Caenorhabditis elegans: one gene and its partners. The protein of the gene in region 2 interacts with the protein of the main gene of each other region in a pairwise test. Each region holds a gene or a part of one and is shown on either strand. Other genes may lie near its edges. The genes, in order: inso-1, rbm-42 and F46G10.1.

What was found.
Region 1: the proteins of rbm-42 (region 2) and inso-1 interact in a two-hybrid assay, tested with the Caenorhabditis elegans proteins (one large-scale study listed by BioGRID).
Region 3: the proteins of rbm-42 (region 2) and F46G10.1 interact in a two-hybrid assay, tested with the Caenorhabditis elegans proteins (one large-scale study listed by BioGRID).

The regions. Positions count from the first base shown.
Region 1 is NC_003284.9:1,295,867-1,307,100, forward strand, and holds the start of inso-1 (BTB domain-containing protein), read left to right. Parts: upstream 1-4,282; 5' UTR 4,283-4,409; intron 4,410-8,696; 5' UTR 8,697-8,718; coding exon 8,719-8,752; intron 8,753-10,224; coding exon 10,225-10,463; intron 10,464-11,234. Other genes in the region: dop-4 (Dopamine receptor 4), read left to right, coding at 289-477, 691-847, 1,237-1,395, 1,445-1,612, 1,707-1,892, 2,053-2,268, 2,547-2,792.
Region 2 is NC_003281.10:5,149,037-5,158,824, reverse strand, and holds rbm-42 (RNA-binding protein 42), read left to right. Parts: upstream 1-5,595; 5' UTR 5,596-5,697; coding exon 5,698-5,726; intron 5,727-5,776; coding exon 5,777-6,080; intron 6,081-6,208; coding exon 6,209-6,784; 3' UTR 6,785-6,918; downstream 6,919-9,788. Other genes in the region: putative cytosolic Fe-S cluster assembly factor oxy-4, read left to right, coding at 58-126, 825-1,635, 2,755-2,860, 2,906-3,293; grwd-1 (Glutamate-rich WD repeat-containing protein 1), read right to left, coding at 3,509-4,044, 4,221-4,671, 4,811-4,968, 5,017-5,110, 5,157-5,279; Y54H5A.2 (Protein HGH1 homolog), read left to right, coding at 9,247-9,305, 9,351-9,609.
Region 3 is NC_003284.9:13,307,376-13,317,241, reverse strand, and holds F46G10.1 (BTB domain-containing protein), read left to right. Parts: upstream 1-5,486; 5' UTR 5,487-5,515; coding exon 5,516-5,587; intron 5,588-5,667; coding exon 5,668-5,726; intron 5,727-5,770; exon of another isoform or gene 5,771-5,777; coding exon 5,778-5,889; intron 5,890-6,111; coding exon 6,112-6,237; intron 6,238-6,774; coding exon 6,775-6,942; 3' UTR 6,943-7,015; downstream 7,016-9,866. Other genes in the region: srxa-8 (G_PROTEIN_RECEP_F1_2 domain-containing protein), read left to right, coding at 8,397-8,505, 8,553-8,666, 8,721-8,998, 9,357-9,489, 9,539-9,699, 9,757-9,866.

The DNA of each region.
Region 1 (11,234 bases), on a different chromosome or scaffold from region 2:
TTAGTTAATAATTCTGTTTTACTCCCGAAAAAGTTGTACGGAAAAGAGATCCGGACAAAAATGTGATCTCGGTTCAGCAATCCAACAAGTAGAAAATAAACCAAAGTCTACTGGGAATTGGGCTGAAACTGATTCTAAATAACTCTGGAATTTGATTTGAATTTTTTTTGGTAAACTACTGAACCCTCTGAATCTGTACATATGTCAACTGAAAATTTAGTATTAGAAAAATGAGCTCTTAAATTTACTACACTTTTTACTCTTTTTAATATCAAACTTAAATTTCAGGTACCTAATTATCTCATTGGCAATAGCAGATCTCATAGTAGGCGTGATAGTGATGCCTATGAATTCATTATTTGAAATTGCAAATCACACGTGGCTTTTTGGCCTGATGATGTGTGATGTGTTCCACGCGATGGACATTCTTGCGTCGACAGCTTCGATATGGAACCTATGCGTCATTAGTCTAGACAGGTATGTGAAAATTCCAAAATGTTAAAAAAATTTGATGAAGCTTTTTTGAAAACCAAAAACTCTGAACTTTGAACCTTTTTCTTGACTTTTTCTTCTCTTTTGTTCAAATCTAATTTCTTCCCCCCCCCCCTCTACTACTACTTTTTTTGTGAGTCATTCAATTTCAAACTGTGCTTTCTTTGACCTTGCACAAACTTTCCGTACTTTTTTCAGATACATGGCCGGTCAGGACCCAATTGGCTATAGAGATAAAGTCTCGAAAAGGAGGATCTTAATGGCTATTCTGAGTGTATGGGTGTTGTCTGCAATTCTATCGTTTCCTGGAATTATTTGGTGGCGGACTAGTTCTCCGCATTTGTATGAAGATCAGGTATGACAATTGGCACTGGCCAAACGGGACTTGTCTAAAATTGGCACTGTCATAGACTATCATCTCACTAATTAGCGCCACAAAATTGACAATTAAGTTGATTAGATAGGGGGATGGTGGTTGGACAAAATTGGTCTGCACTAGAACGTGCCTTGCACTGACCAAACTTAGAAATCGCACTGACCAAACTTAGAAATCGCACTGACCAAACTTAGAAATCGCACTGACCAAACTTAGAAATCGCACTGACGAAACTTATAAATCGCACTGACCAAACTTATAAGTCGCACTGACCAAAAATTCAGAGTTTGAACTGATAAAAATTCAGAGTTTGAACTGATTAAATGCACTTTTAAAATTAAAGAAAAAAACATTTTTCTTTTTTCTAGTCACAATGTCTATTCACGGACAGCAAAATGTATGTGAGCTTCTCTTCATTAGTTTCGTTCTACATCCCGCTCTTCCTCATTCTCTTCGCATATGGAAAGGTCTACATAATTGCGACGCGACATTCAAAAGGCATGCGGATGGGTATCAAAACAGTCAGCGTGAGTAAATAGGAAAATATTTCAGTTTTATAAGTCGTGTTTTGTTCAGATCAAAAAACGGAATGGAAAAAAATCCAACACGGAGACAGAGAGCATCTTGTCCAGTGAGAATGAGCCAACATTGCGGATTCATTTCGGGCGGGGGAAGCAGTCGAGTTCCAGCTTAAGAAATAGCAGGTTTCATGCCAGAGAGTCCACGAGGTTGCTTTTAAAGCAGGTATAAAAACTACTTTGATTTTTCAGTTTAAATGTTCAAAAATTCTAGCGAAATTAGAATTACCTAGTTAGCATCCACAATGTTTCAGTTGCAGGTATCCTGTAAATCATTAAACGATCGTGGCGAGCACAACAATAATAACACGGTGCGGCAGCCATTGCTCCGTGGCACAGAAGGTTGCCATTCCGACTCCATTAGTCGTTCCTCGCAACGTAACTTTCGTGGCAGGAATGTTACGATCGGGAGTAACTGCTCTTCGACTCTTCTGCAAGTTGATCAGGTAAACATAGCGTCTGACTTCTTACTGTTCCAGAATACTGTAACAGGGTTAGTTTTCCTGCCAAAAACAAAAAAAAATCCATAAAACGTGTCAGAAACCATTCACTCAGTCCTCCTCTAATAATGTAAACATTCCATTAAAAATCCCCCAAATTTTCCAGCCGGATCGTATGTCGCTCTCCTCCAACTCCCAAATGGTGATGACATCTCCCTTATCAACGCGTCGAAAATTGAATGTTCGAGAAAAATCGCGCCAAATGATGCGCTACGTCCACGAGCAACGTGCAGCTCGGACACTTTCCATTGTGGTCGGAGCATTTATTCTCTGCTGGACACCATTTTTCGTGTTCACTCCGCTCACCGCGTTCTGTGAAAGTGTAAGTGTAGGATTTGATGACCCGCTAGATGTCGGGCATGCAAATTTATGTTTTGGTAAAAAATTTGAACGGTATTCTAGTGAACGAGAGTTTTTAGTTTTTGAGGGGAAGGCGCCTGGTGAACTTTCCGGTTACTTGCAACTTTTTGAAAAATTTCTGAAAAATGCTTTTATCAGAAATTGACAAAGCCCCTACTATGATAAAACTCGACTCACCATTGCTCCAAAAACCAAAAAAAAGCCCACAAATAGCCGCGGCTAATTAAATTTCCGTTTCAGTGTTTCTCCAACAAAGAGACCATCTTCACATTCGTCACATGGGCCGGTCACCTAAACTCAATGCTCAACCCGCTCATCTACTCGCGCTTCTCGCGAGATTTCAGACGGGCATTCAAGCAAATTCTCACGTGTCAACGCCAGCAAAAGGTGAAAACCGCATTTAAAACGCCACTGTCACTCGTGTTCACTCAACTCATCTCGGTCACCCAAATGTGGGAGCAACCGCCGAATACTTCAATTGAATAGTTTTTATTTTGTATTTTTTATTTTTGATTTTTTTTCAATTTGTAATATGAACAGTTTTTTGGAGTACAGCAGAAGCTCGCTCTGAAAAAAAATTTAAAAATTAGAAATTGGTATTTTGAATTCAGCGTGCCAAGATTATTTAAATTCGAGTTGCTTATAAACTTTATATTTTTTTGAAGTTTCTGAAATACAGTGCAGAAGGCTTATTTGTAGGTACAGAAGTGCCTGCCTGCCTTTTTCAGTAATTTTTATTTTGGAAAATCTTTTAAAATCTTCAAAATCTTCCAGAATGTTTACCTTGTTTCAAAGATCCTGAAAAACATTAAATATGTGCAAAAAAACCACTTGTTCCAAAAGTTTTTCATGAATTTATTTAAAGGTGCCTAAGAATTATCATCGAAAAAAATACGCTCGCAAATTTTTCTCATAATTAACATTTGATCTACCTTTGGAACTTGACTCCGCCGCTAAATTTGTTGCCGTTGTTATTTCGTTGTGGCTGTCTTAACGAAGAGAAAGGAAGAGCCTAGTGAACAAGGTAGATCAAAAATAAATTATGAGAAAAATTTGAACTTTTTGAAAAAAGAAAAAAGCAAAATTTTATCGTATTTTTTCGATAATAGTTAACATTCTGAAAGCCTTTGAAAATTAAAAAAAAGTTTTCACAATCTTCAGCCGCTTTCATCTTCTGAACATAAAAAAAAAACCATAAAAAATCTGCAAAAAGTCATTCTTGGAGCAATGTTACAGACTTTGAAAATGGTGAAAAACTGAGGAATTAGGTAAACGTTTAGGGTCGAACTTCTCATAGTTCAAAGACTTCGTGTACAGTTAATTTTTTTTCTTAACGTGCCGGATAGTTCTCACGGTAGCACAGAAACTAGATGGATTGGTTCATGATACTCAGTCTGGAAACCTATATTGGCTACTATCTCGAAAACCATCACAAAATCGATTTTGCGATGCATATAAGAAATGACCGCAATGAAATTATCTATCTTTATTTGTGATGAATTTTCGATTTTGTACTTCCTGGCCAAGTTATGCACGTTTGTTCGGTGGAGCGCGTTTGCACCCATTTAGCAACTGAACCACCGTGTTCTATTAGGCAGGTGAGCCCGGAATACATACAGAGTTCTGAAGTCAGACCGCTAATTATAATTAACAAGAACAGGTGAAAATGCAAGTACATCCTATAAAGCATGAAAACTATAACAAAAGCTGAGAATTACTTCCTTAGTTTTTGACGATTTTTAGCGAATCTGACAAAATAATATTACAAAAAGGGCCCCCTTCCGATCCAGTGGTTCCAAGTGCCCCCCCCCCCTCCTCCCCAAAAAGGCCATGACGTGACATCTCTAAAAGTGCATATCTTGCGGTTGACTAAACAAAACCCAAGATAAGAAAATTAATTACGCTCTCATTCACAGAGACGTCCATTTAACTGCCTATGAATCATCTTTTCCAGGGCACCGAGATTTTCTTCATTAGCTGAGATTTCCTTTCGGTTCATTATATTGAATTTATTCATCTGATTTGAATTTTCAGTCGGCGTCGTTTCGCCAAAAAATTAGCTAACGAGGTAAAGCAGCTGCTCTGGCCGCGTGCGATTTTCAGGTAAGTTCTTTCAAATTTCAGAAATTTTATCGGATTTTGTTCGCACAACTGGTTTTTGTAAAAAAGTTTTACATATCGATTTTCTTTGGTATCCTTTTGTTGTACATTGTCTACCAATCTGATAGTGAGTAGGTTGAATAAATTTAAAAATAAATTTTAAAGTAATACCTTCAAAAAATTCTTCAAAAAGTTTTATTTATAACTTTGCATATTATGTATGATTTAAATGAATTTTTTCCAATTAAAAAAGTTATATAATCTTAAACTTAGGCTTAGGCTTAGGCTAAGGCTCAGTCTAAAGCTCAGGCTTGGGCTTAAGCGTAGGTTTAGGCTTAGGCTAAAGCCTAGGTCTTGACTTAGGCTTATGCTTTGGCTAAGGCTTTGGCTTAGGCTTAGGCTTAAGCTTGGGCTTAGGCTCAGGCTTAGGCTAGGTTCCCTCCGTTTGTTCTCTGACTAAATTTTTTCCAAAATATTCCAAGTAAACCGGCAATTGTGAGCCAATGAAATTTATTAAAATTGAAGGCACATTTCAATTGTTGTCTCTAAAAAATGAGACTGTAAGGATAGCGTATGGTATATATATCTCACCCACATGGTGTTCTAAGGGCCTTTCGTTTTTATTAGATAATATAATTTTATAAATTGAACATTTTGAGCTTACACGTAAACAACATGAATATTATTAAAAATCTGCAAACATTAGTTTTTGGAGAACTTTTACTTGCCTCAAAAATAGTTGTTAGAAAACCTAAAGTTTCATATTTAATTATTGCCAATCAACAGTGTCAGTATGCAGTTAGAATTAATTTCAAGTCGAATATTTTTTTTGATTTGTCATGTTTTGTCATGTTTCCCTCCAAATGTTGCTCTTTTTCGAAATGTCAATTTCTATCCCCTTCTGCATCTTGCTTTTTTCAATAAATTTCCTTTTTTTCTAGTTCATGATTTGTATGTAAGTTTTTATAGTTTGTTTTTCACTTTGTTTCTGATATATGTAAAGCATGACTATTTGTTACCGGTTTAGATTTATGGAATTTAATTGAACAAATAATAAAAAATTAGGTGAAAAAAGAAAGAAGTATTTTTAGTTGGAATATATTACACTTTGAAAAAATCTAAAAGTTATAAATAGTTGCGGGCTCGAAAAAAAAATTAAGTAATTGAAATTAGGTTCGAAACTAAGGTTACGCATAAAAAACTATAAATTTCACATCTAAAAGGTTTGAAAAATTTACTTCGAAAAAATGTGGAACCTTTTTTTTCCAAATAAATATTCTACTTTTGTCTGAAAACTAAAACTTCAACTTTCTACAAAATTATAATTTGGCTTCTGAAAAAAACTAAACTTTACAGCCTGAAAACTCAAAAGAAACTGCTTTTTTTTTAAATTTAAAAAAAAAAAAGCTTTTCGCCGAATAAAAACTTAAATTTTCTAAAACTTTTCATCACATTTCTGATTTGAAATTATTTTTTCCAAAAAACATGGCAGTTATCTGGTAATTTACGTTTGAAAAGTCTGAAAATGTTTTAACTGAAAAAATTATAGTTTTATATTTTCACTTTAATAAATTTCTAAATAACCGAAAAACTAAAATTCGTAGGTTGGCAAATCCGCGAAAAATTAAAAAGGCACTATATTTCGAATTTTCACGTTTATCACAGAAAAAAAATGTGCAAAGTGTATCAATATTTAAGCAATTCAAATGTTCCGAAAATTTTCATCACTTTTCTGGTTCCGACCTGGTACTGACCGGATATGAAGTATTTTTGGAAATTTTTTCGTTTTTGTCATTTGGAAGTGATCCGCAAAATGATTTAATTCAAACGATGTATCCCGGCAGCAACAGCTCAAAACCTTAGAAATTTCAGATTTTTAAATATGTAGATTTCTTAAAGAGCTAAAATAGTAATCTTCAGTACTAGAGAATTCCTCGAACAAATCCCAAAAAAAATTTAATGAAAAAATGTCAATTGCAATGTAGAACCTCCTAAAGCTATTCCATTATTTTTTTGGAAACATGGGGGGAGAGAGCAAGTGAGAGAAGACGGGGGGAGCACATTCATGCACAAACACACACTCGCACTTGGTTGTTCCTTACCCCCTCACTGTTTCATTTTCTTAAGCCTACATATATACTCTGCGTCTCCCAGCTCTCCCCCAACCGAAGCAGCAGCAGCATCGCCGGGCACCCTATGGCCGTGGACTAGTTCCCCCCATTTCCCGCTTCATATCTCTGCTCGCCCTCTTCCTTCTGTGTGCTCTCTCGGATCCTTACGCAGTAACTGACCATATGGTCAAGTGGTTGGCGGGTGTGCAGTGCTAGTACGATTGTCTTGTCTATTGATTCTTTTTTTTGTCATTCGGAGCTTGGCTGGAATTTTCTGGTTTTTAGGTTTTCAATAACAGCGTTTTATTCTTATGAATTTAAAATTTGCAGTTTTTTCTTTGAATACAACTTTGAAGTTTTCAATTTCACATATATATATATACAATAACTAAAATTATATTTAATTGAGAAAAAATTAAATTTGCTTATTTTTTAATTTACAATATTTCCTGAAAATTGAACTATATACCTATTCCAGTTGAAAAAAAAGCGTAAAATAATATTTTCTTTTTAAAAAAATTCAAACTTTGAAAAATTTATTATAGAGCATTATATTTTGAGTAACAGTATGTAATAATTATTTATAATTTGGTAGCCTGTTAAAACTGATAAAATAAAATAACTTTTAAAAAACCTACTCGAAAAAACATGAAATAATTTTTCCCATTTTTTTTCTACCATTTTGTGGTATTTTTTTCTCGAATTCAATATTGCTGCATCCGTTCCTGTTCAGTTTTTGTTCAATTAATCACACCAAAGCCAATAAATGGGCGGAGTCTAATGAGATAATTTTGTTGAATTTTATTTTAAAATAATAGTCTGGTTTCTATTTCGTAGAATTAAAAATTAATTTTGAGGTTTCAGCGTAAAAAATAACTTGAAATTTTAAAAACCGGAATATTGTGCCAGAAGTGTCCAATATTTAGGCGGAGCCTATTTTAGGGCTGTATTGTTATCCAGAAATTTTTTGAATATTTTTTTTAATGGAACAGATTTTCCTGTAGGCCTTTTTAAAATTTCAAACTATTTTTTGAGCGACTTTGTAGTTTAAAAGTTAAAAAAAGAAACCCACCAACAGCTTGTAGTGAAAGGTTTCTTTTGTATTTATGAGTGCTGGAACTATAATTTTCAAAAATTGTATCAATTTTAAGTCAATTTCCCCCCGAAATTAAAGGTTTAATAAAAGAAAGACTACATTTCAAGTGGACAGTTTTGAGAAATTATTTTTTTAAGTTATGAAAATTAAGAAAAAGTAATCTAATTAGAAATAACATTAATTGAACAAAAATCAGCTGTGAAAATTTTCAAATTCTGTATTTAACCTAAGAGGTATCTTAGAAATTCAATTTGGAGCGTTTGAATACCGTATTTCCTCTATTAGTATTACACCCGACTACTCAACTTTGAAACGGTATATCTCGGTTCATTTTTAAGATATTAATATATTACAAATAACAAATTGATAGAAAAAAAACTAACAAATATTTTGTTAGTTCACAATTTTTGAATAGGACAAACGATAACCGAGATATAAGCTGTCAAAGTTGAACAAATGGGTGTAATACTAATAGAGGAAATACAGTAACTATTAATAATAGGTTCATAGTGTAATTGTTTACCTTTTCTCACATGTCTCATCAGTAATTCAAAAACGTGCTTGAAAAATTATGAGAATGCAAATGCGACCAATTGACAAACTTAGATCCTAGAGCTAGCCACCGCCTATAGCTTCTCTCTGTAATTTTTGCTGACATGTCTAAAATTAAAAAGTTTGAGACAGGAGTTTGTTCATTTCTCATTTTTCACCGACTAATTCCTTCTGAAGCAGACTTATGCTTAAGCCTTTTCAAAACGGAATCTCTGTATATATCCCTTCCCATGTGTTGTCTCCGCTCAACAAAATCATTCTAGGAAGCTCTTCTGTCTGTTTTTATTCCTCGCCCGTTTCTTTTTGTTGGCTGGTTGGGTTTCAGAGGAGACGAAGCCTTGTCTCCGTTTGTTTGCTCATTCCCCCCCCCCCCCTCTCATCCTCAACTCCTCTTCTGGCGGCTCATTCTTCTCTTGTTTGCAACAACTATCGCATTTTCTTCGACGGCTGAAACAGAAAAAAAGCCCCCCGACGACAGCTATTTTGAAACAAATCTCTCATACATTCTTAATGCTTTTTTTTGTTTTTCAGAAAGATTCCGGTCAGGCTGGTGATGGATACGAGGAAGGTGTCGGTATCAAATACAAGTGAGTCTTTTTTTAAAAACATAATAATTCAAAATTGCGAACCCATTGCCGATGTAAAAAAATTTTAAAAAAAAACTCCTTAACACTTGGTGTGCTATGAAAAAGTATGAACCTGCCAATTTCAATAGATGCGAAGCCTAAAGCTGTCGTAGCTATTGCCCAGTCTTCTATTTTTTCTGGAATTTTGAATTTGCTAAATCTTGAAATTCAAGTAGTTTGGTGAATTCTCATGATTTTCCTGACACATAAAAATTGTCAGTATAAGCTATACAAATTTTGTTTTAACTTGGATCAAATTAAAATTTAGACTTTTACCGAGTTTTTTTGACACGCGACACCAAATACAAAATTTCCTAGTCTCCAAGTTTTTGTAATTTTTTATCGGTGTTGTAACTCAAAACCTAAACAAAAAATGTATGTATTTGTGCCCTAAAATGTTTTTTTAAAGTTTCACAAATTAATACGGGACATCTTTTTGTATTTCTAGGCTTGTTAGGACAATTGTTAAATATTATAAAACTGCAATTAGAATTTCAAAAAATTGGTTTACGTGTTTTGAGGTTCAGCTACTATACAAGTACCAAAAATATAACAAAAAATCCAAGTGATGTCAAAAACTTAAAAATTAGTGGGAACTTTGTCATATGCCAATTTTTTAAAAATTGTTCTATTTTGAATTTTGTCGAGCTAAATTGACGAGTCCTTGAATTATAGCAAATAGACAAATGTGCTCAATTTTTGCTAAAAATTTTAATTGTTCAATTATGGCGTAAATCTAATTTCAAAGCTACTGTGTAATCAACAATTTCAAATTAAATTCAAAGTTTAACATTTAAAAACCGCATTCCTTTCCGCTCCTCTGAAACTGAAGCTTCCCAAAAAAAAATAACACCCAAAAAATTTAGCAAATCAAAATTGGAAAAATTAAACAATGCTGGATTTTTCACAACCCTCAACAAAAATTTGTTAATAGGAGCGTAGAAGCCATCAAAATGTTTTAAGACTTTCAGAATCAGCTTGTCAAAAAAATTATCCAAAAACGGCTTTACTTCGGACAAATAACTAAAAGTTTATTTCATCGAGCTAATACGCTATAACTACCCGCTTTTCGTCTCAAAATTTTTTGGTATTTTTGGCTAGCCTGCTGAAAATTTACTGCTAATTTGTTCAGATACAATATTCCAAATTCCATTTTCATCGCGAAAACATTATGTTATTCATCAATTCTCAGTTTCCCGATGGTACTCATTAGTATTCTAAAACTTGAAAAACACGCGAGTTTCTCTCTTGATAGCTAATAAGAATTCTCCAGAGATTTAATTTTCTGTTTTCGAACAAAAAAAAAATTACACAAAAAAACCGCCTCACTATAGCAACCAACATCGCTCAGTTTCATACTCTAGGCACCGCCCACTGTGTGGCAGAGCTGTGAGAGCCCCTCAAATCACCCCTCATTCTTACTCAATTTCCAGCTTCACCACGACAATCTTCTGACACTGAGATGAGCTCCTCATGCGCCACCTCAACAGCTTCAGCCATCGACGAGTCTGACGTGAGATTCTCGTTTCAAGACACAATTCAAGCCATCCGACACATGTCGTCCAACACTGATGACTCGACCAATCAGAATGGGGTGGCCGCCGTCAAGACCAATGGATTCCACTATGGGTCCAGCTCGAGCAGCTGGGTGCGGCTTAATGTTGGCGGGAAGGTTAGTTTAGTTTGCTCCTGGTTTTCTTGATAAACAGATAAAAAACCACGAAAAAGTTACGTGCGTAGCGTCGAAACTTCCAGGGTTTTTTTAGCGATTGCTTTCGTTTCTGGTTCTGCTTTTGACCTGAGACCACAATTTTGTTTTGTAGTCAGAAGAATATCAAGTTTACAATTTTTCAAAACGTATGGCTAGTTGATCCAAAAATCTAAGACATCATCACACTTAAAAGCAGTAAGTAGGCCCTAGGCCTGTTCAAAATCTAGACCTGCTAAAAATACCTACTCGTCAAATATTTTTTTTTGGCTTACCCTTCGCTTATCATAATTGCGGTTTGCGAAAATCAACAATTTTTAGTGAAAAGATAATGGTTGTTTTCCGTTTCGCATAATTGCAGAGTCCACGAGAATGTGGGAAATCTCTGTGGAGTTTGAGATTTGAGCTAGCTAATGAAGACGTGTGATGTTAAAATTGCTTTAGAATTTGGAGAACAAAAATAAAAAATAAATAGAGCAAGCTAGTTAAAGCCTGAATTTGTAAGCTAATCAATATAGCATATGTAGATAGTGGTGATTTTTTCCAATTCTACAGTGATCCAAACATTATTAAAAATAAGCTTCAAGCTTGAAAACCACATTTCTATGTGCTTCTTTGAAACTGAAACTTTATAAATAGTAGGTTACAAAGCTTGAACTTGACAGAAAATTAGTTAAGTAGGTAGTGGGGACAGCCTGCAACCTAGTAGCAAGTCTTTAATTTTATAAGGCCAAC
Region 2 (9,788 bases):
TCACTGTATCTTTAATTGTCTTATTCAGATAATATTAAAAATATTTCCAGAAGTTTTATGGAAGATTCTGGATTCAGTGGTGTCGTTCGACTTTCAAATGTTTCGGATTTTATTGCTCCGAATTTGGTGAGTTTTTTTAAAAAATGACGTCTGTTAATTCTCCAGTTTCAAAAGTTAAAAAGTTAAAGTATAACTACTTTGTGAGAAGTTTATATTCTTGTTTTTAATTCGAATTTTTAAAAAACGTTTCAGAAAATGTTCTGATTTTTTTCGAAATTAAATTTCGTTTTACAATTTTGTATTGTCAGGAATTGTTTTTTTTTTGAAATTCTGAAATTTCTGGTAAATTTTAATAAAAATAAATCCAAAACAAGTTATATTAAAGATAATCCAGCGATTTTGAATGTTTAAAATAAATCTATAGTCAAAAATTTCAATCAAAAACTGAACATTTCCAAGATAAAATAAATACATACATACAAACTTCACCTCGAGGAGACATTTTATCTATGCAAATGCCTAATTTAGCTAGTTTTTATTTAAGAAAAAAACGGTACCTGGTCTCGACATGGCCAAATAAATATTCATAAAAACGACGTGCGCCTTTAAGAAGTACGGTAGTTTTTTTGTTCTTGTTTCCTTTTAAAAAATTATTTTTGTGTAACCAGTTTTTCAAAAAATAAGTGAAAGTTGCAAAGAGTGGACACTACTGTACTTTCTGAATGCGCACACACTTTTTCATTAAACATTTTATTTCTGTCGTGTCGAGACCAGAAATTCTTTTATTTTTTGAATATTACTGTAAAATTGTATCAATTTTTCAGGACTGCATAATCCCATTGGAAACGAGAACTGTGGAAAAGAAAAAAGAAGAATCACAAGTGAATATCCGTACCAAAAAACCAAAAGACAAAGAATCTTCTAAAACAGAAGAAAAGAAATCCGTTAAAATCTCGTTAGCTGATTGTCTGGCATGTAGTGGATGTATCACTAGTGCTGAAACAGTTCTTGTTGAAGAACAATCATTTGGACGAGTTTATGAAGGAATTCAAAATTCAAAGCTCTCAGTCGTCACTGTTTCTCCACAAGCCATCACTTCTATTGCTGTGAAAATTGGAAAATCAACAAATGAAGTAGCGAAAATAATTGCCTCATTTTTCCGAAGACTAGGTGTCAAATACGTAATTGATTCATCATTTGCCCGGAAATTTGCACATTCTTTAATATATGAAGAACTTTCAACAACTCCATCAACATCTCGACCACTTCTTTCATCTGCTTGTCCGGGATTTGTGTGCTACGCTGAAAAAAGTCACGGAGAGCTTTTAATCCCTAAAATCAGTAAAATTCGATCACCTCAAGCTATAAGTGGTGCAATTATCAAAGGATTTCTAGCAAAAAGAGAAGGTTTAAGCCCCTGTGATGTATTCCATGCAGCTGTAATGCCATGTTTTGATAAGAAATTAGAGGCATCGAGAGAACAATTTAAAGTTGATGGAACTGATGTTCGAGAGACTGATTGTGTTATAAGTACTGCTGAACTGTTAGAAGAAATTATCAAATTGGAAAACGACGAAGCCGGAGATGTTGAAAATAGATCAGAAGAAGAGCAATGGTTATCGGCTCTTTCTAAAGGTAAATTTGAAAAGAAATAACAATTTCTGTGGTTTTTTTATTTCTTTAAAGTCAGGCTCAAATTCTCCAATTTCGACGCAAATCCTTTGGTTTCCTCAAATTTTTTAGTGAAAAAAACTTTATGTAGAGAATACCAAAAGTTACCAAAAATCTGGAATTTTTCTACAGAATTTAGCACGCCACTGTAGACATAAAAACCTCTTTTTCACTTGAAAATTCGAGAAAAACAAAGAAGCTGCGGCGGATTTGAGAGCTGAAAGACAAAAAAACAACGACTTGTATTTTAACCGATTTTATTCAAAATTAACAGCATTTAGGTCCCCAGTTGATCTCATAATCTTCTGGTCGTGATGGTGGACGAGCTGGTGGGACAACTTTCGAGATTGTCGATTTGAGCTTATCTGAAATGATTTCAATTTTAGAACATCTTCAGCTTATAAAATCTTATTTATACTTACCGGTTTCGGAGCAGCTGCTTTTGGTTTTGTAGCCTTCGCTTTGCACCCAACAGAAACAGTCTGCGCCAATAATATTCTGAAATTGAAAATAATTTCAGTCAAATTCTCAGAAATTAATAAAACTTACATCCCAAAAAAAATCAGGCTTGATCAGTTACACAATCAATTTCTTGAGTGACTGAATTCAAGCTCTTATTCTTGAGGAATAAATTTTAAACTTTTGAATACTCCTTTTCTACGTGTAGATTTTTTTATTTCTCTTCACGTGTTGTAGGACACGTGTTTTCAGCTCGACCATTCGGTGTAATTTGTGCAAACACCGTCACGCGCAAATGCAGACATTTTTGCACGCGCTGTGGTGAAATTCCTCTTGGGGAATTCAAATATTTTTCTCTCGCCGTTTTTGAAAATTTTCGAGGCGTTGGTTCTTTTAAAATCGCGCTACAATGCCTCCGCCTCCCAACCATGGGTCTCGGTAGGTATTGGCGACAAAACCATATTTTCCAACTTGTGGAAAACATTTATTTTACGAGAAATACAACATGAAACTGAACAGAGCAGGAGCTGAAAAACATATCGTAAATTTTCTACAGTAATCTTTAGAAACGAAACAAAATAAAAAAAGATGCCTCCCTTAAAACACAATACTGAAATGTTTCAGGATCTGTTATTGGTGACGATGGTGGTGCTTCTGGAGGATATGCTGATCGAATTGTTCGAGATTTCGTGCTGGAAAATGGAGGAGGAATTGTAAAAACATCAAAACTGTAGGAATAAATAACTTTAAATAATGTAATATTTCATTTTTTCAGAAACAAGAACATGTTCTCCACGACTGTAGAATCCGAAGCTGGAGAAATTCTTTTAAGAGTTGCCAAGGTTTACGGGTTTCGAAATGTGCAGAATCTGGTTCGAAAAATGAAGACGAAAAAGGAGAAGACAGATTACGTGGAAATTATGGCTTGTCCGGGTGGATGTGCAAATGGTGGAGGTCAGATTCGGTACGAGACAATGGATGAGAGAGAAGAGAAATTGATTAAAGTCGAGGCATTATATGAAGATTTACCCAGACAAGATGATGAAGAAACCTGGATAAAAGTTCGAGAGGAATGGGAGAAACTTGATAAAAACTACCGTAATCTTCTGTTTACGGACTATAGGCCCGTTGAGACGAATGTTGCTCAAGTCTTGAAATGGTGAATTTTCTTGTTATATTTTGTGATACATTCCCAGTCCCTAATTTTTTAGATTCTATAGAATAAAATGTTTTTTTTTGTTTTTCAACGAAAACGCGACATTTTTAAAGCATTTTTTGGTTAACAGAAAAGTTACGAAAAAAAATGAACAGTAACAATGTTGAATAGATGAGAAAAACAGCAACAAAAACAAACAGGGAGCAATAACAGGGAGACATCTTAAATATTAATAGTCTTGAAGACATTAAATCCATCAATTGAAGTGTTGATAGCCAATCCAGGAATCTGTTGATGCCAGTGAACTTCTTTGACCTCATTCTGACCCATATGGACGAACATCAGCTGTGGTGGAACTCCTTCGATATTCGTTTGTCCATCTGCTTCAGTTGCAATATCCCAAATTGTTGTCTGATCGTCTTCACCGGAAGCCATAAATGTCGTTGTTTCATGTGGATGCCAGTCGACTGAAGTGATTGGTGAATTGTGATACTTGAAGAGTGCCACTGGTTGACCGAATTGGATTGTTTTCAAAGACCAAATTTTCAGCTCTCCGTCATCACCACCAGAAACAATGAGGTTTTCGTGACGATTCCACGAAATAACATTAACATCGGATTCATGAGCTTTTTGCACTGTACAGACGCAGGCATCTTTTGGAGCAGAACGTGTATCCCATAGTTTGATACTTCCATCCGCGGAACATGAAGCAAGAAGTCCAGTTTCAGTTGGTGACCATGCAAGATCTTCGACACTCTCTGAAAAATATTGGAATATGTACTGAAAAATGCTCAAAAATTTTTATGCGACAAAGACAAGTTTTTAATTCAGATTTTTGTTTTTTTCCAATCTATTCAAGAAAAAACCACTCAAACGCCATTCAGGAGACACATTTCAATTTTTGGAATTTTCAGATCAAAATTAAATAAATTACTTTTATGTCCAGTTAATGGATTAGCTCCAACAGCCCATTGTCCTCCTTCCTTCATTTGCCACAAATAAATCTTTTTGATGATATCACCAGTAGCCAAGTCTCCAGTTTTTAATGAAGACCAAGCAAGTCCATATCCTTCTTTTCCAGATCCATTATTCGTGAACAAGGGTCGATCGATCTTTTGCACTTCAGTCTTCGACTCTCCGCTCATTCCATGAGTATAATTCAATGCATCAGTGATATTCCACACCTGGACACGTCCTTGATCACTCCAGCAAGCACATACAGTACTGTCACCAAGACGATCGGAACGAATTCGGTTAATACCACCATAGTGAGGAATCGAAACAGCGTGCATTTTTGGTTCTCTTTTCTTCTCTTCTTCGGCATCTTCATCTTCGGATTCGTCTTCAGAGGTGTCACTGTCGTCGCCTTTGTTTTCTTTTTCTTTCTGAAATACTCACTTTTATTGTAGAGATATCCTTGTTTTTTTTAGTTTAACAATTGTGTTACTGAGCTTAAAACTAAACGTTGGCCGGAATTTCAATTTCATAACAGGTAAATAATAAAAAAGTTTGAAACCGACTAACCCTCATCGTTGTAAGATTCTTCAATCCCATCACAATGATTTCGTTATCCCTTGGCTTATCGGCTTGAGTTCCACTGACAATATAACATTCGGCAGGGAATTGTGTTCTGTTCTCGCCCAAACCATCTTTAACAACGTCAAACGACAAGCATGGCCAATCTAAATCATAAAATATAAATATTTTAGAAACAATTTCGTTTGAATCACCAGAATTGAAACTATGAAATAGTTTGTAAGCACTAGGGTCAAAATCCAATTCTTCTCCTTTTTTCAATGGCCGGCTGAGGCCTGGAATGTAAGCCTGCAATTTTAACAATTAGAAGTATTGTACGAAATTTCTAGCTCACTTGTCTCTGATTCTCCGGTACTTCCTCGTCTTCATCATCAGTTTCATCAACTTCCTCTTCAGACTCGTCTATATCCTCCACTGGATCCTCATCATGCATTTCAACGTCATTTTCACCGGACATTTTCTGCAGATACAGAATATATCTCTTAAGAAATGTTAGAAAAAGCGGATGAGGTAATATTTGGAACTTCAGAGGGTGTTTTCTTAAATTTTAAAACAATTATGAGCACAAAACTACTAGTAAAGCGTGAAAATTGGGAGGATAAAAAAAATAAATAGGAAAACAGAAAAAATTTTAGAGTACGCAAAAGTGCGTCGTCTCTGGCTTATTTCATGCGGTGTTTGCGTACTCTTAATATTTTTATCAATTTTTTAATGTTTTTCGAAACAAAAGCTATTTTCCTTTTATTTGTATTCATTTATGTGTTAAAGATAATAATATTAAATATTAATATTTTTTGATTTATCTGTCGCAAAGTTTCTGTACTTTCTGACTATATTTAGACTTATTTTCAGCCTGAAACGCTCACCCTTCAACAATGGCCAACTTGGATGATGAACTGGCTTTGTAAGTTGATTCTTCCTATATTTATTATCAAACAAATTATATTATTTTAGATTTGAAAGCGAGTTAGCCGAACTTGAACAAGCGAGTAGCAATTCGGAGGAGCCAGCAAGCTCTCAAACGCATGTTGGCTACGATAATGCAACAATTTCGGCAGGACCAACTACTTCCGAGTCATCAGCAGCTACTTCTAGTGCTCAAGTTATTCAACCATCACTTTTGGCAGCGCCTCCGTTTATTCCGATAGCTGCCACAATTGCAGTTTCTCCATTTATCAACCCGGCACTTGGGAGGCTTCCAACAATGCCTCCAGTTCCACCTTCAATTTTCATGCCTCCACAATTAAGAGCTGCACCGGTTAGTTTTGATTTTCCGTTGACTTAAAAAATATCCTTATTTTATGAATAAAGCCATAAATTTTTGAGAGAAAAGTTAAAAATTGAAGTTATGTGAATATTACTCTCAATTGAATATTAAATTTACAGATAATGTTCCCTCCTCGAGTACTCGGAATTCCGGCTCCTGCAACTATTGAAGGTGCTCCAGCATTATATGAAACACCTGCAGTAAACGCAATTCCACAAGAACTTCTGCGAACTCAAGCTCTTCAATCAGATATTGATAAGATGAATTTCAAAAAGCAAACCGATCCATTTAAGAAGAAAATCAAGGAACAACAAGCGAAAAAGAAGTTTGTGAGATCCGGTGGTGGTCAGGTTTGGGAAGATCCATCTCTTGCCGAATGGGATGAAAATGATTTTCGAGTTTTCTGTGGAGATCTGGGAAATGAAGTGTCGGATGAACTTCTTGCAAAGGCTTTTCGAAAATACCCAAGTTTCCAAAAAGCCAAAGTTGTCAGAGAATCACGAACAAATAAGAGTAAAGGATATGGATTCGTTTCATTCAGAGATTCGGAGGATTATGTGAGAGCTATGCGTGAAATGGACGGAAAATATGTTGGAAATCGACCGATTAAATTGAGAAAATCGGCATGGAAGGAGCGTAATATTGATGTTATCAAGCAAAAGAGAAAGCAAAAGAAAGAACTTGGAATTTTGTAAATCGATTCGTTTTTCTACATTTTTTTCTGTAATTTATTCATTTATACCCCAATACTTTCATTGTACCCCTTATTTTCCTGTCATCGTATTTTTATTCATTTTTCTTTTCAATATATAAAAGTCTGAATTGAGATATTTATCGTTATTTGAGTATCAGGAGCACTGTTGCATGTCCAGTGCAAAATATACCTCTACTGTCATTTTAGAACATTACATTTTTGAGTTTTTTCTTTTCAATTCATATTTAAGAAAGGCTGAAATCTTTTGAAAACTTCAAATTTTGAGGGAACAATACCGTATCCGGTCTCGACACGATACATTTTTGTTAAATTCGAAATGCTGTGCGCCTTTAAAGAGTACTGTAATTAAAAAATTTCGTTGTAGTTCAATTTCTAACGATTCTTTGAAGTTGTTTGATAAAAATATATCTACTAATCAAAAACTTCAGTAAAGCATAAATTTTAACAATAACTAACAAAAAATTCTTGTCGAGACGGAGTACTGTATATTTAGCGCACAAAACGAGAATTTTCGTGTCTGTGTTTCAAAAATGTTCTTCCTGAAATTTAAATGATTTTGGCTGGAAGTTAAGATAGGTAGACATTATATCTAGTATAGGATTTGTCAATTAGATACTTTCAACTAATTTTGTTACAAAAATGAAAAATACTTTCGACCCCTTCATTGGCTAGAACTTTCTATATAAGTATAGTTAGTAGGTGTCTTCATTTAATTCCTGTTTGTATAAATGTAGTACAAGTGGGTGGCTGTGTTGACGAGTATATCAATTGCGTAACGGATACCGACTACTTCACAAAGAGTGCCGATGTCGAAAGTTTGAGCAAGAGATTACGAAGGTGACGGGTCGAGACAGGGTCACACGGTGTCCTTCCGATTGACGGTTGCGCAATTCAACGCATCTTCTGAAGATGAAGATGTTGTTTGGTGACGGCAACAGGTCAATCTGTGCATCCGGATCAGAAGATTTGAAAAAAAGCGGCTTTTTGTACTGAAAGTGTGCTGTCAGTCTGTTGTTTACGATAAATGAGCGAGAACTCTGAATTTACTTGGAATTGGAATTCTAGACTCGTATTCGGATACAATTGTCAAAAAGTCAGATCCTATTCGATAATTCTACACGACCAATTAAAAAGCAATTTAAAATCATAATCTGTGCGATTAACTCATATTTTTCATTCAAACTGAAAATGGTTCCGCTTCGCAACCAAATGCTTCTTTTGATGTTATTACATGAACACATGTTTGATGATATCATGTTGTTTTCTGTTGTGCAATAACAGTCATATCCTTCAAGAGCATGTTGAAAATCATTCGATGCGAAGAATCTCTAGATCTAGATAATAATCCCCTTTAGCTTTTACTAATAAGTAATCCTTTTCCCTATTCTCTTCCGTCAAATTTATAAGCAATTCCTCACCATTTTGTTCACACCTGATACCTCGTTTATTATCAAGTGTAATGCGGTATAAAACACCCATGGTATGGATTGTGTCAGGAAAATGGAAACATCTAATATTTTATGACACGAAGAGGTCTTGGATTAGGAACAGCCGTGTGGACGAAGTGTGGCATGGGGTTTGAAATGTATGGGTTTTCACTGTGAAGCTCCCCTATTGTTTAAACTTATCAAATTTAGATAATTAATATAAAATGAAACTTGATATTTATTCCATCAAGTTTTCAGTTTTATTTGATCAACATTGAAATTTGGGGAGATAAACATCCAAATAGCATTAATCGGTCTTAGCAACCAGATATTCAACTCTGATTATGCAACTTTGTCCACATTATCCGGTGGTCCATTGCTTGTAGATGACGTAACTCTGGACCGTTTGTTTTCCAAAGTAGTGTTGCATCAACAATCACCATGCATATCCCATTGGATTACGGTAGTCAGGAACCCTTTTCTAGTTTTTTTCAATCTGGAGTGTCCGTTCTTTTGTGCACATCAAGTGTGAGATGTACACGAGCCGCAACGTCCGAAAAGCACACTTCAACCTGACTTTTTGTCCCCAATTTCTCACTCTCAACCGCAAAAGACTTACAGTAACCCGCCACCTTACACATTCGCGCACTTTTGAAGTGGCCGACTGTGAGGATTGGCGCTGAAGCTGCAAGATTCGAGATGTTTGTCGGTGAGAAGGACGCGTACCCGGGTGGGCGAATGAGGTATACTGTAAAATAGAATTGAAGTGATTGTTAACTAGACTATGGGTGTGACAAGTTGATTTTGACGTCAAAATTTGTTGCAGTCTAGCAGGGAATTTGAAGTTTAGAGAATTGAGTTCATACTAGAGATAGAAAACTCAAGGGGTTCTAGAAATAAATCAGGCGTTGTGTGAAAAATGTATTTAAAAAGTGATAATCGGAAGAAATATAACATAAATTTAAAAACGAATTGAAATGAAATCCTGAATTTAAAAATAATTATTTATTTCTAGATGACTGACCTGGAAGTAAGCGTCGATGATTTGGTGAAGCTCCTCTCACCGACTATGTCGTAAGAACTGAGGTTATTATTCTTAATTGAAAATTCCAATTCCAGATTAATTGTTCGTCGTAAAACAATGGAAGTTGTCACTCAACTGGGTACACCGCTCGATGGATCTGCTGGAAAATACTTCCAAGCTCAAGATTTTGCTCTGGGAAAAGCGATTTGTCAGTTATGTGAAGCAACTTCTTCGGATCGAACTGAAACTCTGGCAGCTCTCACAAACTTCACTTCTGGTTCCATTGAAGCCGCTGATTTTGTATTGGATAAATCAAAATGTGTGGAAATTGCTTATACTGCAGTTGTTACTAATGTAAGGGAATTTTAAAGTAATATTCAACGCTTTCATAATATTACATAGACGCGTAATTTTGCGTTTTTTGCGCCAAAAATACGGTACCCGGTCTCGCCACGACTTTTCAAAATGCAGAATATGTGCGCCTCAAAAAACTGTAATTTCAAACTTTCGTTTGCTGCGAAAATTTATTCACA
Region 3 (9,866 bases), on a different chromosome or scaffold from region 2:
AATTTGGATGTGTGAAATTGTATGAAATTAAGTAGACATATAAATGTTTGAAATTCTACTTGTTCAAGGATCAAAAATTGACTGGAATTTGTAACTTGAGGAGCTTTTATTTCTGTAGAAAAAGTCGTGAGAAGATCAATTTAAATTTCATCTGTTCCCAGAACTCCCGAATAAAGAAAAAAAGTTTCAGAAAACTAAAAAAAAAGTTCACACACAATACAAAAACATATAAATAACACAAGACACAAAGAATTTTTCGAAACCTTGACTCACAATGACAGTTTCAACTTATTTTTCCCGCTATATCTACAAGAAAAATCAGCGTGAGGTGCGTAGATACGCGCATTTTTGCAGAAAACCCATTTACACTCTTTTTCACGGAGAGGTCGGAAAAATATGTGATGAATACTGCAGGGAGATAGGAAATTTGAAAAAGGGGTACGGGATAAATCTATCTATGAGAATTTGGAATCAGTCAACGAGTTTCTGTGCCGCTCATGTCAACTTATGAGACTTCATCACATTTTATTTTCAGAATTAAATGATGAACTGCCTCCAAGATTTTTTGAATAAAAATTTAATGCAAAACAAGCCCGTAAATTGACACAAGTTACATTAGCTCGTTGTAAGCGTGGCGGTAGCTATTTAAAATTTTGAAGTCTACGTAATTGTTTTTTTTTATCCGGAATGTGTACCAAACCATTTAATGACGACCAGAAAAATTTGTCAAATTTTCTAAACAGTGACGAAAAAAGATACCCCCGTTAAGTAGAAGTATGAAGGGGAAAGCCTACCAAGGACCTCTATTGTAATACTCGCTAAAAAAGTAACAAGAAATATTGGAACATTTTCAATTTCCAAATCAAATTTTCAAAAAATTTAGTAAAATTTCAAAATCTATGTTGTGCAAAACAAAGCAATACTTGACAAAGAAGCAGAATGAACCTACCAGATCTCATGAATTTCAAATTGAATTGCGGAGGCCAAGATGTCTTGTTTCAAAGTAAATGTTTGTAGGGAAAAAGCAGGACACAAGAGTTGGCGTACATCATAGTAAGAGTAAAAATTTTGAAAACGATTTTTCTGCCTGATCTTACAGAATGAAGTAGGAAAAAAGTAATATTGACGTGTTTAACCATTGTGATTATTGCCTAGGGATCCATGACTAACGGGAAGTATCCGTGCTGATAAGTTCTAGTCTGCGAGATCTCAGAAAATGAATGTGATATCAAATTGCGTGTGAAGTATTTAAATTTCGCAGTTATATTAGAAACTTCATGAAAATACAATCAGACAATCTGAAAAATGAATAAATGACTGAATGCAGTGCTCGGAAAAACACGGACAAGACTATTATCAGGAATATCTTCAATTTTTTCTGAAAACATGTTTTTCAAATAATTCTCATGTTTAAATATATTGAAATAAAATTCCTAAAAAGGCTCACTTTAACTAACGCATATTTAGTAATCAGCTTGAATCATCCAACTTGTATGTTGTAGCTTGATACTTGGTATTAGGAAAATTAAACTTTGGGGATTTGATGGTTAATTTTGTATGCTTCTTTGAGCTGTTTCTGTTATATTTATAGAATCTTGATGGTCAAACTAATTATGAAATTCACTTGGTCACTGAAAGGGAATTTTGGAAAATAAGTGTGGAAAATAAGTTAATGTTAATTGCCTGCGAACTTCATTTAAATTTTATCACACTACAATTTAAAAATTCATTTTATAACAAATGTACATGAATATGTACATCGGTTCCGCTATAACTTCTATTGTTTCTTCCAAAAAAAAAATCGAATAAAAACGCCACGAAAAACATGATACAACCACAAAACACAAAGAATACAAGATATAGTCAACGTCACTACCACATTCTTCAAAGATATGTGACAGCGTTGATGGTTTAATCATTTGATTTGTTTCGGTGCAAACAGATGAAAAACAGATGCGTTAAAGAATGCGCCCATTTTTGTTAATGAATGAGTCATATGTCATATGTCAATTTGGCAAACGGTACTATTTTTGACAAATTGTCAGTTGATTTGAGATATAGAAGGCCGGTTTGAACAGATTCTATGACAGGCAAAAACCAAAAACAAAAAAAAAACATACTAGGGAATATGTTTTATTGGAATTTTGAAAACACTATGTATGGATTTATTGGAATTGTTATTATAATAGCAATAATAACAGTAACAAAACTTAATTAACTAGCTTGGCTAATTAAGCAGAAATGTACTTGCAGCGTTTGTTATCAGAATGCCAATTGTTAGCAATTTATTTGAATGAAACTTCCGGTGTCATCTGACACGAGCATGTGAAAAATGAATGACCCAGTTGGCAAAAAAATTTTGTCTAACTTTTGTCCATATGAATTTCAATGTGACAAGACGTTTTACACATTTATATTACTCAAAGTGATCATAATTTTTAGATAAAGTTTCAATTTTTAATACAAATTCAAATTGGTAGAATTGGTAGAAAACTCAGAAACGTTTGAAATGTTCTGCTAAATTTTTTGTCATTTTTCAACATGCTTTCGGATTCCTTAAATTAAAATGTTGTTGTGACATAAAACGTGTGGCATCTAGCATGAATGTTTCCCCTGGTTTGTTTTTCCAAAAAACAAAAAAAAAACACAATCTCATTTATATTTTAACGATTTAATAATCGATTCAAAGTCCACCAAAAAATTGACATGACTTTTATCCATTTAAATATGCCTGATAGGAACAATTCTCAACAAGAATTATTGAAATCTGAATTTCTTGCTGGAAATTTCGGAAATAATTGTTTCTCAGTAGAAAATGTTTCCTTTCCATTCTATCCAACACCAATAAATCAACAAACAGTGAAAGAAGCAATGCAATGAAATAAAATGACTATGAAGAAACAATTGCGTGTGGCGCGTTTACAGTGCCTTCGGAAAGATACTTAGAAGAGAGTGCGGGAACATATTGCAAGAATTGAGGGGAATTGAAAGAATCAGGAAGCAAATCTCATTAAGCATACGCCCAGATAATGCATAATGGTGGCTTGGGTTCCAGGCAGTTATAGGAAAAGTAGGCAAAGCTCTTGAAGAGAGAAGTGAAAAAAATTATCTGTGCAATTCTCAATGGTAATTGCAAAAAATAAAAATGTCATTAATAAGGCAGGTTTGTAAAAAACAATGTTACTACTTGCAAAATATTTCCACCGATGCAGAATTGAAATGTTGTCATTTTTAGTATCGACACCATGAAAGTTGAATTTTGCTAACATCTCAAATTATGTCAATTTTTCGTTATCCCAATCTTTCATCTTTATAATTTATTTTGGTCCCCTAGTTATCTAAAATTGATTTATGAATAACTGAATAACCCTAGATTGACATGAAAACGCATACTAAACTGATAGAAATTGCATTATTTTTTTTTTGAAACTTTTACACTTCCCGGTTCATCCGTTTGTTGGTGGTATAATTTCTGTTTAAAAAAACACTTTAAAAGTTTTTTTCGAATTTTTATGGAGTGAATATCTTTTAAAAGTAGTGCAAACTTTGTTTAAATGGACTCCAGCAACAAAAAGTAAAAGGCGAATGGACACTGAAGTAAGTTAATTATCGTTTTAGTTTCGGTTTTTGAAATGGCTTCTTTCAGAAAAAAAAAACGCACTCATATCCTAAAAAGTGTTTTTCATAATAAACAAAAATTATAGTTTCTTCTGTTTTTTTAAATATAAATGTCACTCTAAAATTTTAACAAATTGTTCAGGCAGTTAAAGGAGGACTAACGGTTCGGACGATTTTGAACGTATCGACCCAAAATGGGCCCAAATGAACGAATTTTGTAATGAAATTGCTCAAAAAATTTTCAAAAATGTTTTATGGCGGTTCAAAATTTCGAAAAAATGACACTGATTTTAGCCAAAATCTCGAATTTTGCCCATTTTTCCGTGTCACATCTGTCCGAAATTGCTTTTATCATCCTTTATTGCAAAAATCATCAAAATTGGTTAGCTATCGGCTTTAAATGTACCTTAATCAAGGAAATTAAATGAGATAAACTACCAATATATGCAATAAAGGGTGATAATTCCAAAAAAGCAATTTCGGACAGATGTGACACGGAAAAATGGGCAAAATTAGAGATTTTAGCTAAAATCAGCGTCATTTTTTCGAAATTTTGAACCGCCATAAAAAATTTATGAAAATTGTTTGAGCAGTTTCATTACGAAATTCGTTCATTTGGGCCCATTTTTGGCTTATACGTTCAAAATCGTCCGAACCGTTAGTCCTCCTTTAAACATAATTTCGAAATCAAATATTATTTTTGAAAAACATGAAAATGCCAATCAAAATCTCATATTGTTTCGTTTGGTGTACGGTAACTTTTATTTTTGTTGTTTCAATTTAGCAGCCTTGTTTTAATCAAGAAAATAACTCATGAAAACGTGAAATTAGTTATTCGCACTTCTCGTGCGAGATTAAACAAGTGACATTTTTGCAAATAAAAAATTATTTTCGAGATTAGATTTTCGGCCAGAAAAGTTTTACGGCGGTATAAAACATAATTTGATAGTGCTGCAGCCGCACATATTGTGAAGAAAATAACAAAAAAAAAACAAAATAATTGCCAGTGAAATATCAATTATAATTGACTTTCATTTGACTTTATGATCTGGAACATCTTGTTATCGTCATTGAGCTGCAAGCTACTCCTGAACAACTTTCGTAGTTCTGAAATTGCAGGATAAATTTTTTTTCAGTGAACATACATAGCAGACTGAGCTGTTGGCACGAAAACCGGCAACTGTCGATTTTTTTCCTACCGCTTGTTCAAAAACTGTGAAAAAAACAAAACTTTAAAAACAGAATGGCGCCAGTTAGAATAAGCATACAAGTGCAAAAATTACTATTCAAAAAATGAAAGGTTGTGTTATTTTGAGAGTAGTCAAGTGGTGAATGAATACTTCAATTAAATTTTGAAATTATACGCAAATCATGCGACGGCACTGACCAATCAGCGTTACGTAAAGGAGACGACATACTTCGGTGATTGGTTGGCGGTTTCCTGAATAACACGTGTTTCAAAATTACATTGACATATTTACGGTTTGTCCAAATTCGTAAAATTGGCACTCTTGATCATATTTCTTTGCCTGTTTTTTTTGGCATTTTTCAGAGCGAGCTTCAAAAAAAACTATTCAAATTTTGCCACGCTTTTAATATTATTCACTTTTTCATTTAAATTTTAGATCAATTATAAATGGTTATTATTGAGTGATAACAATATACTTTTTCTAAACACGAATAAGATTTTTTTTTCGAAAATAGGTACCTTTATATGTTTCAAAAGTGTTGAATCACACGTGTTGCCAATCTGAAAATGGGATGGTATCTTCTTATTGACACAAGGTGAATTCAAAAATTTTCCTAACGTCACTGATAACACAACCGACCATTGAGTTTTATTACCTCGATTTTCACTTGCTCGCGTTTTTCACAGGACACGCAGGTTTGACTAATAATGCTAGCTAGAGCTTCTCTTCATTCAAATGGTGTGGATATGCATACCGCTGAGTATGCTGATTATAAAAAGGTGGGTCTTGAAATTGATTCAATTTTCTAATAAATTGTACAGCTAATGAGAAAATTGGAGTATTATAAAACTATGTTTAGGCTGAAGTCACATCTCATCATGCTCGAGACATAGTGCATATTAACGCAGGCGGCACAAGGTTAGTTGGGAATTGAGAACATGAGATCTGAGAATTTAACGAAGGCTTCAGATTTACTACACTTTACGACACTTTGGCACAGTCAAAGTCGTCATATTTCCTCAACTTTATCCGCATCGACCGCACCAGTGGAAAAATTGTGCTTCTTCAACAGAGAACTATTGTGGGTGACAATCTAGAAATAAATATACATACTAATGAGGATGCAGAATTTTTTAATTGGAGACTATTAGGTTATCTAGAAGCTAGCTGAAAGCCTAAATCCTACTGAAAAAACTTCCAACAATTTTTACTTGTGCTTTTTTCAGAATTATTTTTCTGAATTTCAAGAGAATGCTTTTAATCCTCATAGCTCTCTCTAAAAAAATTTCAATACAAATTTCAGCGTGATGAGTCAGGAGCAATCTTCGTGAACCGGGACGGGCGTCTGTTTGCATTCGTTCTGCAATTTATGAGAGACGGAAAGAACACTGTCCTGCCAAAAGATAAAGACGTGTTAGCACAGCTCAAAGTAGGTGTTTCATGTTTAATTTCATCGCCTTCTTAACCATGCGTTGTCATTGATAAGCACAGTTGCTTGTTTACTAGAGGTACACCGAGGTGTGCCTTGTGTTTTATGGGTATTTATGTGTTGGCGATTGTGTGTCACGAATATTGGTATACCTAATCAATTGGCATGGGTAGAGAAAATTAAGTTATACAATTTAGTCATGTGCAGTTACTATTTTATGATATTGTTAAGGAAAAACAATATGTTTTGAAAAATTGTTTTTTCCAGGAAATATCATTCAAAAATTAATTCAAAGTGCAATATGGAAAAAAAACCAACAAATACAAGATTAACACTAATGTCAACTATGTCAACAATCATAAAAAATAGAAACTATGAGATTTATGCAAAAAATGTGTAGCATACATAAGTGTGTATATTAAATGAATCTTGAAACACCAAATCAATTTATTGAAAACAATCACAACTTTTAATTTGAAAATAACTCCAATGATGTATGAATTGACAATACATATAAACTTCCCTTATTTTTTCCAGCGAGAAGCAGACTTCTTTGGCATGGAGGTATTCAAGTACCTAATTCAAGAGACACTTGTTGACATTGAAAAGGAACAACGTGCCAACACCAATGATATTGTGGATATTCGCAATTCGGTGAACCAAATTGCGAACAACACGTACTACAATAATGGAGGACGCATTTGAAGTTTACTTCCTCTTTCTGAATAACTTTGTTAATGACCATGAAATAACGGAAATAAAGTGCAAAATTGTGTGTACTTCTGAACGAACTTGTTGAATTTGGTGTTCGTTGAAAATTGACTTGGGGGATGGAGTAATCATATTCAAATTATTTTTAGTGATCCTTGTGAGAACATTTGAAACCAAAAAGATGTGCTTAAAATTCTGAACACTTTTAAATTAAGAAAAATCGGTAGAATCGAGTTATCGAAAATCAAAACGTCTTACTAAACTTCAATTACATTAGCCATAAAAAACTATAGAAAATATCGATTTTCAAAAACTAAATTATATTCAATCTTTTACAGATTTCTGAAAACCAAGTCAAAACTGATAAAAGATACAACTCGGAAAATTGCTCTAAATCAGCAATGTGGAGAAAAATATTTCGTTTAATATTTTTGATTGGGGGGGGGGACTTTATTGGTTGTCCTGAATCTCTCTCGAAAGTTAGTTTCCTCGCATAAATTAGTCTTGCGCTCTTAATTAGCATTGTTTCTGAGCAATTTTTTGTGTCTTGAAGCCTGCGTCGCTGCAGTTGCAACTGAAAACTAATACAGATGTTTTCGTGTACTGTTTATTTTTTGCCTGCAGTTAAAATAGATCTATTTACTTGTTTTGTGCAGACTTAAAAAAGTAACAATGTTCTGTTCAGTGTGCTCAATAGGTAAACAACTTTTTTTGAAAGTTTGTTGAAAGATACTTAAAAAATTCGAGCTCCATGTGAACATGCGCTATGAAACGTTATCTTGCCATGAATTAATCGTTATTATTATTAAAAATTCTTTTGATTTTTTTAAACTTTTGAAAACTATTAAAAATACATAAACATTTGCAAATATTTTGCAATAAAACTCTTTAAGACTTAAGTTTCTACGACTGCAGTTAAAACTATTTACAACGAAATATTTACAAGATGTGACCCGGAACCCGGAACATTTTGCCACGTTTAATATCAAAGCACGATCATTGAGCACCATGTTGACCAGCATGGTACGTGTAATATTTTTACACGCTTCGTTGGAGACAAATTACATGATGAAGTTTATTTATTTTGATAATCAACCAGTCGGATAATTTCGAAAATATACGATTTTGATCTAAACCCAAATTTTTCAGAATGTGCGCAAGTTCAGTTTCAGAGGTTCCGTTCTACTTCCCTGTACATTTTTTTTTCTGCGAATCACACTATTATATCTAACTCATAAAACCCTTTATTTAGTGGGCGCTTTTGCGAATAGGAGAAATTGTTCTCAGAATCCAATAGTTTCGAACACATTTTTATCACTGTCACGCAATTCAGCATGATTCAATTTCTGTCACGTTTTTCTCGCATTTCAGTCTATATCCCTTTTCAGCAGTTGTGACTCTACATTCTCTCCTAATCGAATTTGAAGCGTTCAACAATTTTCGATAAAATGACACCGAAGTATCAACTGTTTTTAATTTTTATGATAATACTTCAAACAATGTGCATGCTTTACAACATTGTGCTCCTCACAGCAACAATAATAAATCGTCGGAACGGTAGTTTTTGAATTTTAGGAGTCAATTACATTCAATTAATTTTTAAGCTGCACTCCCACTGGCCTATATTGTTTTAATGAGCATTCCCGGAATTCTAATTACAGTTTTCCTTAATGTTAATGTAGCTGCTTTTGCCTTCCTTACTGAGGAAGAATATGAAAGTGAGTTGCCTGTGGAGAGTTCTGAAAACATATTCGAACATTTGACGTTTCTAGACTATCTGACAGCATTTGGTGCTCAATTTAGTCTTGGAGCCACATTTTCGTATTTCCATTCTCTTTGCATTTCTGTGCTAATGACAGTCAATCGATTGGCTATTATACTCAACCCATTCTCTGAGATGTTCACACAACGACGACTTTTCGGATATGCTGCCGTTATTGCAATTGTAGTGCTCATATCATTACTTATTCCATACTTTACACCGTGTCGTATTATTTTCATGTTGAATCATTTGTCATTTATATCTGCGTGTGACCCAGAACGACATCCGGTTAGTCAAAATCTGAGCATTGTAATCATTTTTGTTCGAATTCCGTCAAAGGAGATCAAATGTTTACTGCCTTAAAAAATGTTACATTAAATTTCAATTCAACGTGCCAAGTGCGTGTCGCGTTTGAATATGCCAAAAGAATGGGCCGAACCGGGGATTGAACCCGGGACCTCTCGCACCCAAAGCGAGAATCATACCACTAGACCATTCGGCCATGGGAAAGCTTTTCCTTCCGAAAAGAGAAACGATTAGACACTTGCTTCTCTTTTTGGGGGAAGAGAACAATGAATAGCGCCAGTGTTTGCTTTTGAGAGAAAGCAGTTCTCATGAAAAAAGGAGAAACTTCCTAAGATTGCAGATCACAGTTTTCCAAAACCAATATGCTATTCTACTTCCATTTACATGTATGTTTGTCAACTTGGCTATTATCTTGCATCTGCGTTTCGCACGGAATGACACATACGTAAAATTTAAAAAGTTCTTTACCAAAAGTAAGTGAAAGTTTTGTTTAAAAAAAATTTTCTACCTAATTAAATTAAGATCATCACATCAGCGCCGTTCCAACTGTCAAGGCTGCAGAACAGAGCAACTTGTCGAAAATTCAAGCTCGCAGAGACCTGATCATGATGAGGCAAACAGTGGCAATTGCTGTTTATTTGTCTATTTATGAACTTGGAGCGTTTATCACAAAATGTTTTCCGGTAAGAAGTCTAGTCTAACATATGTTTTAATATGCTGCAACGGTACATTATTTTTAGACTGTTTTCGCTAGTTTACCTGAAGTTGTGAGAGAAGGATACTTTTACTTCCGCTTGGAGTCGATTCCGATGATGAATTTTTTCATCTACTATCTAGAAACACCAAGTAC